Linked DNA regions of Oryctolagus cuniculus. The main gene of each other region encodes a partner of the protein of the gene in region 2 in a complex. Links are inferred from orthologs where the notes say so. Each region holds a gene or a part of one and is shown on either strand. Other genes may lie near its edges.

Evidence for each region.
Region 1: the proteins of SNAP25 (region 2) and VAMP3 are in contact, whole or in part, in a crystal structure (PDB 5KJ8), measured with the Rattus norvegicus proteins. The link is inferred for Oryctolagus cuniculus from reciprocal best matches to the Homo sapiens genes SNAP25 and VAMP3. Residues at the interface, in NP_112253.1 of Rattus norvegicus: Asp147, Leu150, Glu151, Val153, Ser154, Ile157, Leu160, Arg161, Ala164, Leu165, Met167, Gly168, Ile171, Asp172, Gln174, Asn175, Ile178, Asp179, Ile181, Met182, Ala185, Asp186, Asn188, Lys189, Ile192, Ala195, Asn196, Ala199, Thr200, Met202; in NP_476438.1 of Rattus norvegicus: Ser15, Arg18, Leu19, Gln21, Thr22, Gln25, Val26, Glu28, Val29, Ile32, Met33, Asn36, Lys39, Val40, Glu42, Arg43, Lys46, Leu47, Glu49, Leu50, Arg53, Ala56, Leu57, Gly60, Ala61, Gln63, Phe64, Ser67, Leu71, Lys74.

What each region holds. Positions count from the first base shown.
Region 1 is NC_091438.1:159,935,315-159,939,059, forward strand, and holds the start of VAMP3 (vesicle-associated membrane protein 3), read right to left. Parts: upstream 2,825-3,745; 5' UTR 2,672-2,824; coding exon 2,670-2,671; intron 893-2,669; coding exon 814-892; intron 1-813. UniProt on the Homo sapiens protein: SNARE involved in vesicular transport from the late endosomes to the trans-Golgi network.
Region 2 is NC_091442.1:35,237,605-35,241,249, reverse strand, and holds part of SNAP25 (synaptosomal-associated protein 25), read right to left. Parts: intron 1,194-3,645; coding exon 1,049-1,193; intron 1-1,048.

The sequences.
Region 1 (3,745 bases), on a different chromosome or scaffold from region 2:
TGTCCACTCTGCCTGTCAAAAAAAAAAAAAAAAAAAAAAAGATTCTGTGAACATCTATTGCTCAAGAATTCTAGGGAACTGGCACTGTGGCCTAAGCGTAAAGCCACCATCTGCAGTGCCAACATCCCATAAGGGCACCAGTTTGTATCCCAGCCGCTCCACTTCCGATCCAGCTCTCCGCTGTGGCCTGGGAAAGCAGCAGAAGATGGCCCAAGTGCTTGGGCCTCTGCACCCATGTGGGAGACCCGGAAGAAGCTCCTGGCTTCTGTCTCCCTTTCTGCCTCGTCTTCTCTGTGTATTAACTCTGACTTTCAAATAAATAAATAAATAAATCTTTTTTTTAAAAAAAAGAATTCTATAAATACGGATGTGTTGAGCTGCAGTTTGCCAGAGACTGCCTTCTGTGTGTCAATGGGCAACTGTCACAGATGAATTCTACAGAGACTTGCTCAGACTGGGTAATGTGTAGGTCAGGCTAAAGGACAGAGCGTTTTGATTTAAAAATACATGTATATCCATCAGAAGGACTGGTCCTGGCATGAGCAATCTTAGACCTAATCCTTAAAGTTCTGTTACTTTTTTTAATAAGACACTTTTGGGGCATGCCCTCAGGGAGACTGTTTTATGTACATGATTCTATATAGGTTCCCGGAGAGTCTGACTTTGGCTTAGATTAGGGCAGATTCACTACCTTTATGATAACTCAACACTGATGTTCCATTCACACCTTTACGAGAGTTTTTCTAAACAGAATTATCTTCGGCACGCTGCCATGTTTGTTTAAATCTACGTTCCCAGCATTTCGAGCGATACCTCATCCACTTGGTTCTGCGTCTGCTGAAGTCTTCTGCTGCCGGCAGCAGCGCTGGAACCTGCAGGTGCACCCGTGGACCTGGAACGCGGAAAGGCACAGCATGAGTCGGTCAGGAATCCCAATACAGTACTGTCAGCTTTAGGATGCGATCCCATTCCCCAGGACTCCAGTGCGGACAACGCTCACATCACAACCAAAGCGAAAGAGAACCCTGCCTGTAGACCTGAACAGTTCCTCCAAGATTACCAATTTGCCCACATCCGAGGGACCGGAGTCCAGGAGGAAGGCTCGGTAGAGTCTGGTACACAGCAGCGACCCCCAGCCGGGCACACACACAGGCCGCTCTCGGCACTCAGGACTCCCCGGGCCCTTCCACTGCGGCAACAATGCTTTCAGAGGAATAAGAGTTCCGGTGTCTCCTAATAGCGACTCATTTACAGACACAGCGTAGGAACACCGGGCGGGGGGGGGGGGGGGGGGATGCCGTGGAATGTTCGAGAATGGCGAGGAAGCATCGCATCCTCTCAGCGACCGACTCATCCTCCAAGTCTCCCTCTCTTGGCCACTGCGGCCCGGAGCTCCCCTAGGGCTTGGCTGGCGCCGGACAGTCACCAGTCACCTCTCTCCTGACAAACCACGGGCTCCTGGGTCCTAGAATTCTCTCCTCCGTGTTCAAGAATGCCTGGAGTGCTGGCGCCGCGGCTCACTAGGCTAATCCTCCGCCTGCGGCGCCGGCACTCCGGGTTCTAGTCCCGGTCGGGGCGCCGGGTTCTGTCCCGGTTGTCCCTCTTCCAGGCCAGCTCTCTGCTGTGGCCCGGGAAGGCAGTGGAGGATGGCACGGGTGCTTGGGCCCTGCACCCCATGGGAGACCAGGAGAAGCACCTGGCTCCTGCCTTCGGATCAGCGCGGTGCACTGGCTGCAGCGCGCCGGCCGCGGCGGCCATTGGAGGGTGAACCAACGGAAAAGGAAGACCTTTCTCTCTGTCTCTCTCTCACTGTCCACTCTGCCTGTCCAAAAATGATAATAATAATAATAATGCGTGGAGCACCTGCCTCGCCACACAACATCAGTTATTTAAAACCTGCCGCGCGTCAGCAGCCGGGGAATAAGGCAGATCCCACGCTGTTCTGCGTGGAGTGTCCGCGAGAGCACGCAGAGGGCCCACGCCCCGCGCGGGCTCCTTGGATCCTAACTCTTTGGGGTGGGGGGGACACTGCCGATGCCCTCAACACGAGGTTTAGCAGTCACTCCAGGGGGCATTCACCGGCTCCGGGGGTCCGCGGGGCTCTGCTGACCAGCACAGCGGCCTCCCCAGGGACGTCCCACGGGCGCGCCCCTCGGGCGCTGGGCTGGTTTTCCCCGCAGGGGTTGCAACGAGGGGCTGGAGGCGAGACTGCCGGGGCCCTGCGATGCTGGACAACCGAATCTGGAAACAGCGGTCTCCAGGGCCGCAGCCCCAGGAACGCATTCGCTCAGGAGCAGCAAGGCCCCGGCCAGGCTGCCGTGTCCCGAGGCCGCCGCTCCCGGCCCCGCGGTCGCCGGCGCTGCTCTTGGGGACCTCGCGGGGCAGGGCCGGGCTGCAGGGCTGGGCGCAGCCACTTCCTCCCGGAAGCCCGCCGGCGGCAGGGCCCTGGGGACGGCCGGCGGCGCCGCGGCGACAGCTAGGCCCTGCCACGGCCCGCACTCCCGCGGGCGCTGCCCGCCGCAGGCCTCGGAACGCACTCAACGCCCTCACGGGCTCGGCCCGCGGCGGAGGGGCGACCGGCAGGCAGCCACCGGGCCGTGCGACGGCTCCCGCCGCGGGCCGCCGCCTGCGGGCCCCGAAGCCGCCCCGCGCCCCGTCGCGTCACTCACATTTTGGCAGCGGCGGAGGCGCGGACGGCGGGGCGAGAGTCCTCCGAGCTGCGCAGCCCAGGACCTAGGCTCGGGGATGGGTGGGGTGGCGCGGCGGCAATGACGTCATCGGGCGCGGCCGGGCGCGCCGGAAGTGGGCGCCCACGTGGGCGGGGCCAGCGCGAGGCGCCGTCTGCGTCCTAACGCCGTCGGCGGGGCCTGTGGCGGCCGCCCCGGGCCACTGGCAATGGCGGCGTGGGGGGGCCTGGCCGCTGGGGACGCGGTCAGGGGGAGCAGGCGGTACGGGACAGGGACTGTCTGGGCGAGGGCGGGGCTCTGTACGTTCTTCCGGGTGTTTTCGTTTGTGACCGGTGTCTGTCAGCGCCCGCCGCCGGCCGCGCTGAGGGGCGCCCGGGTCGAGGCGGAGTGTGAGGTGGGAGTGGGGAACGCAGTGCCGGCTTGGCCGCGTCTGTCACGTGAGGAAGGAGCGAGCGCGCGCCCCGGGTTGGGGTCGGGGGTCGGGCCGGGCCGGCCGCGCTGGGCACGCGCCGGGCACGCGGCAGCCGGCGGGGCCGGGGGCCTCGAGGAGCCGGCGGGGGCCGCTACGGGCGTGGGACGGTGCCGGCGCGGACGGCCGCTGGCCGGGACACTGGCCCAGGGCTTGGGACTTCAACTGCAAAGCTGGGCGTCTGCAGGACTGACTCTCGCTCAGGAAGGCGTCCGCCCAGCGCTGTTCGGGATCACGGGTTGGCATTGGGAACCGGCACGTGCTCACCCCCTTGGATTCCGGGAACGGGTCAAGTTAAAGCAAAACACGGATAGTATGGGGAAATTTTCTTCATTTTTAATTTACAGCAGAAAGAATATAAAGCATTCAGAAAACATTTTCCATATTTTAAGGGCAATTCAAAACATTTTGCATGGTTTCCAGCAGCTGAGTTCTTCAACAGATCCATTGATTCAATGATGCTTTACATGCACAATTACAAAAATAAAACTTACAAAAAAGAAGACATCTAGACTAGTTTTACATGCAAGTCTCAGGGACCCCCCGTTGGGCGCCAACTACTGTGTGGAACTGCCAGAAGCGACCGTGC
Region 2 (3,645 bases):
TGCTCTGGTACCATGAAACTGCTATGTAGCCTTATGATTCAAAAGTCTCCAAACTATCCTCCTGTGTCTACTGAAGTGGAACCAAGCATTATCAAGAAATTCAGTGTCTCAGAATAAGAACGTCAATATCTCCCAGGCAATAAACACACAACATAAGAGAAGCCAAAACAAGATTATAGATACATAATTACTACAAGGAAGTAGAAATTATGTCAGATTTGTATGGTATAGAATATTAGATTTTGGTGCCCTAAGTCTCTTCATAGACTTTTCTTTCTGTTCTGTTCTAATTTTAAGCCCCCAGCCCCATCTCTTCCCATTCTACTTTCTCCATTCTTCTTTATGGCTCTTGTTGACACTGATGGTCTTAAAGCTAAGCCTAGTGTCCGTGTGTGAACTCAGTTTCATCAAGTGGTAATTTTCCTGTTTTGATATTTGAGGATGTGAACTGTTGGACTGGAAATGCAAACCAGGTCTTGAACTATGATTCATGTTTTGGCATTTCTAACAACAAAGCACATACACATCGCCTGTTAAACCAACTGTTCTTTCTCTCATTTCCTGATTGAATTGCTTTGCCATCTCCAGTTGAAAATTCCATTGTTTAAGACTCTACTCAAATTCACCTTTTCTCTTGAGATTTTTTCCAATCCATGCTCCTTGAAATCTTTCCTTATTTAACCCTTTCAGCATTTTATCTGTAGATTGTCTTGGTGGTGATAAATTCATATGATGGTTAGTTGTCTCCCATAGGGTAAGAATGGTGTTTTCCTCATTTTCATATGTCTTACCACGCCTAGTACAATACCTGGCATATAGGAGCCTGTGACAAATAGCCAGTAGGTTAAATTCTACCTGTTTGTCTTCACTCCAGTTCTGTTGCTGAATCCTGGGTTTTCATTTAGGAAAATTACAGGGGAAATTTCCAAGTATCAATAGACCTGAATGGAATGCCATGGTTTGAGGGTCCTGTTGTGCCCTTCATGCTTCCTATTGGTTATTTTGGTAGTGACCAACAGTAGCCACCTGCTGACTGCCACGTGCTCACCTTCTCCATGATCCTGTCAATCTGGCGATTCTGCGTATCGATCTCATTGCCCATGTCCAGGGCCATGTGACGCAGGTTCCCAATGATACCGCTCACCTGCTCCAGGTTTTCATCCATTTCATTTTCTCGTGCATCATTTGTTACCCTGGCAGCCAAGTAATATTTTTTAGAAGAGAGAGGGTGAGAAAAATCTTGAATAACCAGGACACAAAGCTTAGGGAATGTCTGTAGAACTTCAGGCATCTATTTTATCTGTCTTTATTCTCTATTCAAAGCAAGAACACAGTTTAGCTTTCATACATAAGAAAGTAATTTTATGCTTCATTTTTAGGGAAAAGGAGGGGGACATATAGGAGGAAAAGGATATGTGTGTATGTTTGTATGTATTTAGGGAGGTTCCTGGAGGAACATCGTTTGGCAAATGCTTTCCTGGAATAGCAGCTTAGAATTTTTTTTGGTGTAAATTGAGCCAGAACTTTGAACATAAAAAGAAACTTCATAATTGCTTCCTTTCTGTATAGCCAACTTGCTAAATAAATGCAGCATTTGGACTGGAAAAGAAGTAATTTTAAAAATTGCATTTTGAACCCCTGAATTTCTATTTTTAAAGAAAGTATATTTAAATAGATTGGTTTATCTACTTTTCTCACTTCTACCAGCATATCTTTCTCACCTTCATGTTTACCAAAATTTTTATTTTTTAAGGATAAAATCATATTAGTTGGAAGTACTACAGGTCATCAAACGAAGGTTGAACTAGATAGAAACTATATTTTTCTTTCTGTAATGTCAACCAAAGTCTTCAAGATTCAAATTGAGAATGAAAGAAAATGTTTAGTGTGTTGAGTCAGAAAACCTTTCTACTCTTCTCTTTTTCCATTTGGGACCAACATCAACAGGAAGAGTAATAATGATAATGACAGTCTGCCCCATTAATCCTGCTTGCTTCTAAGAACTCCAAAGGGACTTACTTATTCAAGATTAATTTTATTCATTCACATTTTAATGCTATGATTTTTTAAAGTAGTATATATGAATGAGTAATTTCAAAGTAGAAAACTGTGATAAAAGATTATTGTTTTAGTTTGAATCAGGTGAGAGTGGGGAAGAAGGAGCTGGCTCACATAGCACTTTACTATCTTGCTATTTTTTCACAATCTAACTTGAAAGTTAAGGTACTTGATTGCAAATGGCAAAGGCTTATTCTAGAATTTTTCTCAGTACATAAAGGTACTTAAAAATTTTGTCAAGGGATAGGTGCTGTGGCACAGAAGGTTAAGCTGTTTGTGATGCCAGCATTCTGTGTCGGAGCACCAGCTTGAGTCCTGGCTGCTTTGCTTCCAATCCATCTCTCTCATGATGTGCTGCAAAGCAGGTAGAGGATGGCCTAAGTACTTGGGCCCCTACCACCTATGTGCGAGACTTGGATTGAGTTCCTGGCTCTTGCCTGTGAACTAGGCCAGCTCCAGTTGCTGTGGGTATTTGGGGAGTGAACTAGCTGATGGAAACTCTCTCTCTCTCTCTCTCTCTCTCTGCCTTTCAAAGAAATAAATCATTTAAAAATGTGGAAAAATGGATTTTTGGTGTCACTTTTTTGAAACCTATGCATAGTTTTTTCATAATATGAAAATTTCATGAACTTTTTGGAGACCCTTTATCTGCTTCCAGTTTGATGGTTCTTGGCTCTGATTGCAACCATCTGAGAAGTTTAAAAAGCAAAGATGTTGGTATCCTATTTCAAGAGAGTCGGATTCAGTTGGTGTGCATTGCACAAATTGTGTGAATATTTTAAAACATTTCCTCAGAAGACTCTGATATGCAGCCATTGGCTGGAGAACCCTTGGTTCAGTTTCCCTGGAAGCAGACAGAAGCAGGAATACACTTGACAATGGTCAGGTTCTAGGTACATTTCCATGCCTTACACTTCAGTGCAGTGACACATCACTTAAATGGCAGCTATTGGTTGGTCAATAGTGGCCCAGGAACAGGTAATTACACAAGTAACTACTCTGGCCACTAGTGAGTCCTGGTGTAAAGGCAGAATATCCTTTATCTAAGATGTTTGAATGAGAAGTGTTTCTGACTTTGAATTTTTGGGGGATTTTGAAATATTTGTATAGACATTATAGTATATCTTCAGGAATGGACCCACATTTAATTGTCAAATTCAGTTATATTTCATATATACCATATACACATAGTCTGAAGATAATTTTATCTTTATTTTTTTGTATTCCTTGGTGTTGACTGCATCCCATCACATGGGATTAGGTTTGAAGTTTTCACTTGTGGCACTCCAAAAATTTTGGATTTCATATTTTTGGAAAACCTGAAAATCAACCTGTAGTAGCCTGTAAAAAGATATAATTTTTTTCCACCAGAAATACTTTGTTGTTATTCTGCTTTCTGGTCTCCTAAGAGCTAAGTTCTGAATTAGCTGATATGTTTAATTTGAGAGTTTTAAAATACTTTAAGTTGGTTTTTGTTTCTAGATCTCAAAAGAAATAAAAAACTCATTATTCTCTATTTTCATCACAAATTAATTCTCTAACCATCTTTGTGCCTTGAAAGGCTGACCTCCATGGCTATATCAGCCA